Arabidopsis thaliana: one gene and its partners. The protein of the gene in region 1 purifies or fractionates together with the protein of each later gene. This does not show direct contact. Each region holds a gene or a part of one and is shown on either strand. Other genes may lie near its edges. The genes, in order: NRPB7, NRPB6A and NRPB6B.

Region 1 (3,755 bases):
ATGAAACATCCATTCAATTTCAAATTATACAATTTTCATTGAGACATGTAGAATTTGATCCACTACTCGGTACTATATTGTTCTCAAAATGACAACAGTTTTGATCAAATACGAAGTTCACTAAACTTGCATATAAGTTAAATCCAACAAGCGTGGTTCCAATCTTTCGGATTAAATAGATCCAAAACTTCAACTATAATACAACTTTATCACAAGACAGCATTCTCTGTGAAAGAAAGAAGACCAAAATTGAAATCTGCTTGAAACTTTTTATGCCGCTGCAGGGTCGTTTATGACTCCCAAAAAATCGTCTTTGATGGTACCCACACAAAACTGCAAAATCAAAAAACAAATGTGTAAATTGATAAGAATAATCTAAAAACTATAAGTTGGATTGTGACTAGAGTTATGGAGGAGATGGTGCATACAATCGCAGTGGCATCAACTCTTGTTCCAATAATCTTTAGTCTCACTTCACACTCCTTCTGGATCTTAACCTGCAAGAGAAGCATTGGAAAAATGAGTTCCTTGAAGATAGATGAAACACATATAATACTGTTGGGAAATAAGAACTAGAGAAAGAAACACACTGATCCATCTGATGTGGTATAGTTAGGCATGTCTCCAGCTTGAAACTCCATATCATCTGGAATCAACTGTGGTGATAAAAGAGAGGAGAACAAGAGTAAGTACATAACACCTAGAATCAAAAATGAACTCGAGGTCAAATTCATGATGGAAGATCATAAGCTTACATGCTTAGACACAAAAATCTGAACAGGGCCAGCTTCAGCGAAGAATCCCATCTGTGATAATATTAGGAAAATCCATAAGGTTGATTTGTCACTAAAGACATTTGACTAAAAAAATAAGACTATATAGATACATTACCTTATTGACCAAAGTGACAACAGCTTCCAAAATCTCGCCTTTGAAAGGTCTGAAAACGACGCATTGGTATTTAACTGGAAAGGTGACAAAACCAGTCCCATCTCTGATCAAACCCTTTCCTATTGTATCTATTCCAGTTATCGCCACTACAAATCCATGTCGGCCACTGTCCATACCACAAAACGAAAAGAGCAAATATTGATAAGTATCAATATGACATTGCAATGATGAAACTTCACATCTTAAACCTAAAGCAAATACAAAAAGCTAGAGGCCTCAAAATACAAATCTCTGTCACAAGCAATGGATTAAGCGAACTATACTAAAGAACAAAGTTTTAGACTTGAGTATCAAATACAAAACAAGATACTGGATCTGAATGATTTGCAATCAGGCATCTAAGTGAGCTGGATGAAGTCATATCTTAATCCTAAGAAAGCTAAAGGCTTCAAAGCAAATCCCTTTGGAAAAAAATTCTGCTAAAAATCAGACTTTAGTCACAAGCAGCAGAGAAAGACTACAATTTAGTTAAAAGAACGATCTTTATTCGAATTTAATCCACTCTAATCCCTAAAACCTAACAAATTGAACTAGACGGAGATTAGGGTTCGAAAAAATATGCAACTTTTTCGAAGTTGTCTTAAGGAAAACGAATCCGAATTGAGAATTGAGGAAAAGGGTTTGCGATTAAAGCATCCGAAATTGGTGATTTTCTACTAGAAGTGAATAGAGAAAGAAAACCTGCAAGTGCCTTCGACATCTTTCATGAGCTTAGATACGAGGTTTTCTTTTAGGTTACGACCAAAGAAACGAGGATGCAACTGCATGTTCCGCTCCAATACTATGTGGAAAAACATCTCGACTTCTCTCTCTCTGATTCTCTCTCTCTGCCTCTGGGACTTTGTTAATGTCTTATTGAGAGCAAATTATGTTTTGAGTTCGACCGGAATCAAACAAATCTCTCTGTTTATAAAAGATGCCCAATGGTAGTTCTCTGTCAGCCGTCAGATCTAAAAAGTATGAACGGTCCAGATTGCTTATTAAATTTTCCTTTTTTTTTGTTTTCCTTTTCCCTTGAGACTTGTTTTTTTTTCCTTGACCAATTACGTTTTAATTTTGTTTTTTTGACGCACTAAATTATTTAAGTGAAATTATAACAACGTACAAAACTTTGTTGAATCAAGTTTATTCATTTAGTACAATATCTATTTTTTTTTTACTTTACTTGATTTTAGAAAATATATTTTATTTATTTATGAAACAGCTTGTTCTTGAGCTTGCACTCTCCTATTTAACAAATTCAAAACAGAACAGTTTATTCTTTATTTGATGCATCATAACAGAAAGTCATAAGAAAAAGAAAGAACATAACAGAAAGAACAGAACAGTTTTTTAACTAGACATATACTTATAGACAAACACGTCCTTGTTTGGTTTTGAGTTACTATGGATCAGCCGGAGGATATTTCTTATATGGCGGCGACGGATACTCAACCGGTGGAGGATATTTCTTTTTCGGAGGCCAAGGGTAATGTTCAGGCGGAGGAGGACATTCTTTCGGAGGAGGATAAGTTTTGATCGGCGGATGAGGGTAAGTCTTGTACGGAGGCGGTGGATACTTCACAGGGGGATGAGGATAAGTCTTGATCGGTGGTGGATACTCTTCTGGCGGAGGATACTTCTTAATTGGCGGAGGATACTTCTTGATCGGCGGTGGATACTGTTCTGGCGGAGGATACTTCTTGATCGGGGGTGGATACTTTTCTGGCGGAGGATACTTTTTAATCGGTGGTGGATACTGTTCTTGCGGAGGATACTTTTTTATCGGCGGTGGATAATGTTCTGGCGGAGGATACTTCTTGATCGGTGGTGGATACTGTTCTGGCGGAGGATACTTCTTGAAAGGCGGTGAATACTGTTCTGGTGGAGGATACTTCTTAATCGGCGGTGGATACTGTTCTGGTGGAGGATACTTCTTAATCGGCGGTGGATACTGTTCTGGTGGAGGATACTTCACCGGCGGATGAGGGTAAGTCTTGATCGGTGGTGGATACTTCACCGGTGGATGCTCGTATGGTGGCGGTGGATACTTCTTGATCGGTGGTGGATACTGCACCGGTGGAGGATATTTCTCGATTGGCGGCGGTTTAGGTGGAGAATATGGAAATTTTGGTCCCCATTTAAACGGCGGCCAATGATGAAACCAATTAGGAACAGAGTTTGTAGAAGCAGAGGAGGCCAAACACAAACTAAAAATGCTTCCTTGTGTTACTAACACTGCGAGAGCAAAAGTAGCTAGACAAGACTTCATTTTTCTTGTTGTGAATAGCAGCAAGTTAAAATACGGGTTTTAAAGTAAACAGAGGACTTAAGACTCTATACAACACATTGCAGTGACATTGCCACATTGCAGCAAACCTCACAGCTGGTTTTAAAACCCTAAATCCAGGAAAGTAAACTGACAGAAGCTTTTGTATCCATGCACGTCCAAAGTTTGACAGTTTCATATGGAACCAGGGATTTGACCTTTTTTGGTCAACTTGTATTCGCTTTTTAGCTCTGCAAAAACTCTCCACTTGTCAAATAATTTGCAGCGACGACAACAACTAAGCAAAGAATCTGTTTTTAAAGAGGCTTCGAGTTGTGAAGAATCCATGAAACCGAAGATTTCCCAAGTATATGTGTGTATGGATACAGAACAATTTAGTATGTACACTGAGGAAATTGGTTGTTGAAAAAGAATGAAAATTTGCAGACTTTTTTTACTGTCTATATAGAGTCAGAGGAGAAGATCATAAGAACATAAAGTGTTTTGAGAAAAGAAATGGCAAGAGTTCAAATAAGATAATATAACATGTAAATTA
Region 2 (3,619 bases), 2.8 Mb from region 1:
ATATGTGTTGAAGGGATCAACACCATTATTAAAGTGATCAACTCCAAGGCATTCTCCAAATTCAAGTACCCGGACGCGACCATACATGGACTACTCGATCTAATGCTAAGCGTTCCTACCAATCTGAGGCCGCGGCATATAACCTCGATGTTCAATTTAAGGCAGTTTTGCATTGACACTGTGATGACAATTTGGCACTACCATGGAGGTTGCCAAGTTGGAAGAGTGGTTGACAAGAATTACAGAGTCTTAGGCATTGATTCCTTAAGGGTCATCGATGGATCCACATTTCTCAAGTCTCCGGGGACTAATCCTCAAGCTACTGTTATGATGCTCGGAAGGTAAATGCATAAACCAAATGATCCAAATAATCTAAAACATGTTAATGATTTGATTAAGAACTGATTGTGTCAGAGTGTTTTGTGTAGGTATATGGGCCAAAGGATTCTTCAAGAGAGGGAGATATACAACAAACCGGATAAAGAAGCGTGAGATATTACTTGTTTTGAGAAAATCTTGATCTTGGAATTGTTTTAATCAATGTATGATTAACTTAAAGAGTATGAATGTGTACATCTGTTCATGTTCTGTTTCTAATATGTATAATAATGGTGGAATTATGGTACTTGGGGCTTCTAGTTTTGCAGAATTTCGGAATATGAGTCTAGTATTATCCATAAGTTTCACTGATTTTTAGTTCCATTACAACATCAGAAAATTTATCATCCATAAGAGAGGAAAGCTTGCAAGTTACATACGTATTTGTCGATTTGTCTCTGGTCAGATTATCAATCACCACCAACTTGACGTTTCCATGAGTCTTCCACGATCAGTTCATCAACTCCCCATTCCTCGAAACTGTTTCAGGAATCATAAGTAAGTCACAAGAAAAGAAGAGATCAAGTGAGTGAAGAGAATAATATAAGCTCAATGCAATCTCTCACCTCCCATCAGGTAGATAGCGTCTAATAGTGAATGGTATCTTCCGCTGCCTAAGCTCCTTCATCGCAATCTGAATCCAAATCATAATAAATTAGCTCAAATGTTCATATAAGTTTACTGAGACATAACTTCAAAAACCAACAACAAGAAGGTAGGTAAGCACACCTCAAGTGGATCAGTCTCACCCTCTAGCTCAACCATGACAGGAGCATTCATGCTGTATCAGCCAAAAAACAACATTAAGACTCAAACTTTTCAAGCCAATTTAACATTAAAAAGATTGTTCTCAGTAGCAAGAACCATACCTAATCTGCAAAGCGCGAGTGCCGAGGATACGAGCACGCTCATACTTGGTCATAAACTTTGACGTTTTGCGTGGACGTTGCACAGGTTCTGTTTCGACTTTATCTTCAGCTTCAATAGGCTCACCATTGACATCATCATTCTCCTTCATTTCAACATCTTCCTCTACTCCTTCCTACACAAGAAAAAAAAAACCAATCAGAAACCGAAAGTTGTATAATAAGCAATAACCATGTCTCTTATACAAAGAAAAAATATTGAACTTACTTCAATCTCAGGCTCTGCTGGCTCATCCTCATATCTGCAATAGCCCAAATTTTCTTCAATTTACTCACAAGTTTCACTAGAAAAGCTCATAGAGTTTTAAAAAATAGCTTTTTCTCAATGAAATTAGGGTTTCTACTTTCTACCTTAAAATCGATTAGAATCAGTACTATACCGAACAAAATCGAAGCAACGTTTCATCGAAGAAACCCATCTATAAAAACTGCTAATTTAGACATTAACTAATCCAATTTACTCTAAATCGATTACGAATTCGTCGAGAAGAAGATAGAATCTTTTGAAATCCGAGCACGAATAATGAATAGATATGAAACCGAGAGAGAGGAAGAGAGAATAACCCCAAGTCATCGACGTCGTTGTAATCTTCGTCAGCCATTAATGTCGATTTTTGGTTTCGCTTTCTCCTTCTCTTTGCTCTGTATAAACCCTAACTCTCGTTGCAGAGTTCCGAACGACGCAGAATGAATCAATGAAGTTAAGAACTGAATAAAATTTAAATGATCCAGTTTATTTAACTATGCTTAGTAAACTTTATAATCGGACCATTTAATTTCAAGCCCAATTTAGGCCCACATAAGAATAACTCCACAACTGAATCAAATTTCCTTCTTTATTCCAAATAATCATGGAACATGTGATATATACTGATTATGTTAGAATTTTCTTTTCTTTGGACGATGATCACATATTCATATACTTGTCTGGTCTCATCTTTAGTTGGAGAAACGATCGAATAATCATAGAAAATACTTCTCGAAAAGCAACTCTCTCTCTCGAAGAATCCTTTGCCCCATGTACACCTACACATAACACTCAAGTCTCAACAAGACAATCACAACTCGAAGAATCATATGATCATTAAGTATGAGCGTTTTACCTTCCGAGCATCATGACCGTGGCTCGATGATTAGTCTCCGGAGACTTGAGAAATGTGGATCCATATCAATGGCCATTAAGGCATCAATACCTAAAACTTTGTAATTCTTGTCGACCAACTTGACAACCTCCATGGTAATGCCATATAGTCATCACAATGTGGATGCAAAACTGCGTCAAGTTGGACTTCGAGGACGCGTGTCATTTTAAGGTTTTAATTTTGTTTCACAAAAATTGTCATTTTTGTGTTTTCAATGGAATATTTAAAACCAAATCTCTTTTTTTTTTTTTTATCTCTATTATTTCACTTTATCATTTAGAAAGAGAAAGTATTATCTAGTGTATTAGTAACGGGTAGAAATAAAATTTGTTTACTTTTCTTCATTTGTGTGAAAATGTTAGAAGACAATAACACAACAAGTAATAATAGATGAGAAAACTTTTGTCTACTCTCTATTAAGAACCTTAGGCTTTTTGTTACTTTTCGTGGAAAGCCGCTCTTTGCCGAATAATTTCCTGCCCCATGTACCTACACATAGCACTTTCACAATGATTTTTATTCAAACATCATATCTTATTTATTGATGTTGTGATTATTTAGTTTTTGTGCTTACCTTCCAAGCATCATGACCGTGGCTTGAGGATTAGTCCCGGGAGACTTGAGAAATGTGGATCCATCGATGACCCTTAAGCCATCTATGCCTAAGACTTTGTAATTCTTGTCAACCACTTTTCCAACTTGGCAACCTCCATGGTAATGCCAAACACTCGTCACGGTGTCGATGCAAAACTGCTTCAAGTTGAACGCTGAGGTCACGTGCCTTGGCCTCAAATTGATGGGAAGGGCCAACATGAGATTGAGCAGTTCACGTGCCGTCACACCCGGATACTTGTACTTGGAGAAAGCTTTGGAATTTATCATTCTAATAATGGTGTTAAGCCCTTTAACACACTTGTTCAAATCCTCTGGTTCTTGATAGTAGTTGAATGTCACTGAAGGATTATCCCTTGGGTTCGTGTTCCGTAGCTTCATATGTCCTTTTGAGGCCGGTCCATCGACTTTTTGAAAGATCAAACCCCCATTCATCCTCACTTCCAATTTAACATCAAAAGATTTTAAAAGGACTGCAATGGATTGGGTCAGGATTTTCCTAGATGTAGTATGACTTGTCTGCATAATGCGTCATAGTTAGACAACATACAATCTCATAAG
Region 3 (3,755 bases), on another chromosome or scaffold:
CGGTCCAAATGTGTCGATATCAGCAAATGTTCGTGTTGGACCTGGTGTAAGGCTTATTAGCTGCATAATCTTAGACGATGTTGAAATCAAGGTAATTTGGAATCAGTGTTTTAGAATGTTCTTCTTGTTATGAATCCAAAAGATTCGTTGTTTAATGTTCTCTACTCTTGTTAAATGCAGGAGAATGCTGTTGTTATAAACTCAATTATCGGATGGAAATCTTCTATAGGTAGATGGTCAAGAGTTCAAGCTAGTGGAGATTACAATGACAGGCTTGGGATTACCATTCTTGGTAACTTCATTGTTTTCTTTTTGTTCAACAAATTTTTCGTTATATTTTTTCTGATTAATTTGTTTCTGCAGGTGAGGCTGTAACTGTGGAAGATGAAGTAGCAGTCATAGGAAGCATTGTTCTCCAGAATAAGACTCTTAATGTTAGTGTTCAAGATGATATCATCTTGTGATTTATCACAATGATTATCGTTTGGATTTTTTTTCTTTTTAATTGAAACAGAGAAACTTTTACAGAATTGTGTATTACATGAATTGAGTTCACAGGATTAGATTTTGAGTAAGTGAAACTATGGAAGATTTGTAAACTCTCACTGTACTTTGTGTTTAGATACTAAAAAGATTTTAGAAGAAAGAGTTTTAAAAGATCTAAGATAACAAGGAATCAAAGAAGTTTTGCTTCTTGATTGTGTAATCACTAGTGTTCAATACCTCCTTAGGCTCCTTTCTTTTGTGCAAATTGCTCACTAGAAAAATTGTTTATCTTGACTTCGTTTGTGGGGGTAGGCCCGGACATAATACCGGAACCCGAAGAACCGAACTGAACTTGACTCGAAATAACCAAACCCGTTCTACTTCGGTTCCGGCTAATTACTTGATCGGGTTCTGTTTTCAAATAACCGTGGGTACCGGAAATTACCCGAACTGAACCCGATACCCGTGGGTACTTTTTATTACCCGAACATATATATACATAGGGCTGCGCATATGGGTAACCCGTTCGGATTCGGGTAAAACCCGTTCGGGTTCGGGTTAAATGGGTAATGGATTTACTACCCAATAGGGTAAAATGAAAATTTTCGATTTCGGTCTAGTTCGGGTACATTCGGGTTCGGGTCGGCTTGGGTAAAGAATTTCAGGCCCTAAGAATAGCCAAACAAATGAAAACGGGTATTTTATGTGTAGATAGCGGGTACCCAACAAAAAAAAAACCTTAAATATTAACAAATTTTAATAATTTAATTAGATTTAGATATATTATACTAAATTTTGACAAACATAACAAATAATTTTTAAATAGTTGGGTATTTAGATCTAAAAGTAATTGATATATTTAGATTTATAATTATAATTTTAGATTATTACATTATATTAAGATTAAATATAATTAATATTTTTGATATTAAATCTATGTTCGGGTATCCTGTTTGGGTAACGGATAAACCCCGGACCGACCTGATACCCACGGGTTTACTAAAACTTTACCCAATGAAGTAATTTCTTAAAACCCTAACCCACCCCAACCCGATTTTTCGGTTCGGGTATCAGGTTCGATATCGGGTCCCGTTTTTTGCCCAGCCCTATATATACATATGAGGATATATATACACTAATAATGTGACTTGTTTAATGATTTGAGTTATGGAACAAGCTTAAAACAAGGTTTACTTCTTGTTTTATATTATTGGCTTAAGGAAAAACTTGTTATAATTTCAGATCTTTCGGGTTTTATGGATATTTTTATGTATGTTTGGGTATATTTGGACAAAGTTTGGGTAAGTAGTACTCAAACCCGAAATAGTTTTGGTTACTTATGGTTTTTTTAACTAATACCTGAATTATCGGACCCGAAGTGAAGCCGAACCGAACCCGACCCGAAATTGTTGATATAACCATACGGATCCAAAATTTCTAAACCCAAAAATTCGAACCCGAAAAATCCGACCCGACCCTGACCCGAATACCACATGCCCAGGGCTATGTTAGGGGAAAAAAAAAAAATACATGTGGGCTTAAATGGGGTTTGAAATTAAAACCGGTCTGAATAGACGGTTCATTAAGAAAACCGGCAATTAAAAACCGAACTTCATAGAGAGTCTTCTTTACGCATTCTCCGTCATTCGGTTAAGTTGCATCGATCGTTAGGGTTTTATCGAGAGAGCAAGGAGAGCGATTTCTCAAATCGACTTTAATGGCTGACGACGATTACAATGAAGTCGATGACTTGGGGTAATCTCTCCCTCTCTGTTTCCTATGTTAGTATCATTTGTACTCGATTTCAGTTGATTCTATCTTCTTCTTCCCGACGAATCGTAAACGATTGAGAACAATTGGATCAATTATTGTCTAGTTTGAGAGTCTATCAACGAGATTCTTTTTTGAAAATTTGCTTATTGTTCTGGCATCGTAGCATTGATTATAATTTCATATTGTTTAGATAGAAAACCCTAATTTCGTTTGAATCTTATACATCGGATTTCAAATTGTTGATGTTATGTGGTGATTTTCAATTGCAGATATGAAGATGAGCCAGCAGAGCCTGAGATCGAAGTAAGTTATTATTTGTAGAAGAGAGATTGACATTGCTTATTATTATTACTAGGCTGATTAGAATGTGTTGGTGTGAGTAGGAAGGAGTAGAGGAAGATGCTGATATCAAGGAGAACGATGATGTTAATGTTGACCCTTTGGAAACAGAAGATAAGGTTGAAACAGAACCTGTGCAACGCCCACGTAAAACCTCTAAGTTTATGACTAAGTATGAACGTGCACGTATCCTCGGCACTCGTGCTTTGCAGATTAGGTCAGCTACTGAGAACAATCTTTGTTGATTAACCGTTTAGTTGGCTCGGAAAGTTTGATTCTATGTACTGTTGTTGGCTGATACAGCATGAATGCTCCTGTTATGGTTGAGTTGGAGGGTGAGACTGATCCACTTGAGGTGTTGCCTTCTTCCTTCTTGTTGTGTTTTTCATGATTTGTCAGTAAATGTTGATATGTATATGAACATTTGTGTTGTTTATTGTATGATTTGGCTTAAGATTGCGATGAAAGAGCTTAGGCAAAGGAAGATTCCATTTACCATTAGACGTTATCTACCTGATATGAGGTGAGATTGCATTAGTTATATCAATACTTTTAGCTCTTCTTTCAAATTTGATATCTTCTTTTCTTGCGACTTACTTATGACTCTGAATCAGTTACGAGGAATGGGGAGTTGATGAACTGATCGTCGAAGACTCGTGGAAACGTCAAGTCGGTGGTGATTGATAAAATCTGGCCTATGTGTTTTGCAAAGCTTTCTGCTCTTGTATGGATTATGAACTTACGATATAGTCGCATGTAGAACTTCTTCATTTGTCCTATTCTCCAACACTACAAGAGTCAGGGACTCCAACAAAAATGCATGAACAACAAATTTTTTGTCCCAAGTTGTTTTTGGACATGGGTTTCGACAAGCCTGCATGTACATATACAAAGAAAGAAAATCCTTCGTGAAACCAAAAGAAGAAAACATCTATAATAGTTTGAGTATTGAGTAAGTACAACTCAATTGATAAACCTTTTCTCTCACACTTCCCAGCTTTTGTCGTCTCACAGAGTCAGATCGATTGATGCATAAATGAGTGATGCTAAAAATCAAAAAGCAAGATTAGAGAAGAATTATGCATGTTGTTTAAAGAAGTTGAGAAATAGTAATGTTAAAAACTATGTGAAGCGCTTGCTCGAGGATTGTTTCAGCA

The links.
Region 2: the proteins of NRPB7 (region 1) and NRPB6A fractionate together in Arabidopsis thaliana (co-fractionation; one large-scale study listed by BioGRID). This does not show direct contact.
Region 3: the proteins of NRPB7 (region 1) and NRPB6B fractionate together in Arabidopsis thaliana (co-fractionation; one large-scale study listed by BioGRID). This does not show direct contact.

Annotation. Positions count from the first base shown.
Region 1 is NC_003076.8:23,881,492-23,885,246, reverse strand, and holds the start of NRPB7 (DNA-directed RNA polymerase II), read right to left. Parts: upstream 1,892-3,755; 5' UTR 1,749-1,891; coding exon 1,633-1,748; intron 1,058-1,632; coding exon 892-1,057; intron 807-891; coding exon 756-806; intron 657-755; coding exon 591-656; intron 498-590; coding exon 429-497; intron 334-428; coding exon 271-333; 3' UTR 1-270. Other genes in the region: AT5G59170 (Proline-rich extensin-like family protein), read right to left, coding at 2,336-3,202. UniProt on the Arabidopsis thaliana protein: DNA-dependent RNA polymerase catalyzes the transcription of DNA into RNA using the four ribonucleoside triphosphates as substrates. Component of RNA polymerase II which synthesizes mRNA precursors and many functional non-coding RNAs.
Region 2 is NC_003076.8:21,102,966-21,106,584, reverse strand, and holds NRPB6A (RNA polymerase Rpb6), read right to left. Parts: upstream 2,035-3,619; 5' UTR 1,907-2,034; coding exon 1,869-1,906; intron 1,547-1,868; coding exon 1,513-1,546; intron 1,421-1,512; coding exon 1,248-1,420; intron 1,160-1,247; coding exon 1,108-1,159; intron 1,013-1,107; coding exon 945-1,012; intron 859-944; coding exon 789-858; 3' UTR 638-788; downstream 1-637. Other genes in the region: AT5G51950 (Glucose-methanol-choline (GMC) oxidoreductase family protein), read left to right, coding at 1-341, 429-492; AT5G51930 (Glucose-methanol-choline (GMC) oxidoreductase family protein), read right to left, coding at 3,017-3,577.
Region 3 is NC_003071.7:1,618,695-1,622,449, reverse strand, and holds NRPB6B (RNA polymerase Rpb6), read left to right. Parts: upstream 1-2,070; 5' UTR 2,071-2,203; coding exon 2,204-2,241; intron 2,242-2,528; coding exon 2,529-2,562; intron 2,563-2,642; coding exon 2,643-2,815; intron 2,816-2,901; coding exon 2,902-2,953; intron 2,954-3,053; coding exon 3,054-3,121; intron 3,122-3,212; coding exon 3,213-3,282; 3' UTR 3,283-3,659; downstream 3,660-3,755. Other genes in the region: AT2G04650 (ADP-glucose pyrophosphorylase family protein), read left to right, coding at 1-91, 181-292, 364-464. UniProt on the Arabidopsis thaliana protein: DNA-dependent RNA polymerase catalyzes the transcription of DNA into RNA using the four ribonucleoside triphosphates as substrates. Component of RNA polymerase II which synthesizes mRNA precursors and many functional non-coding RNAs.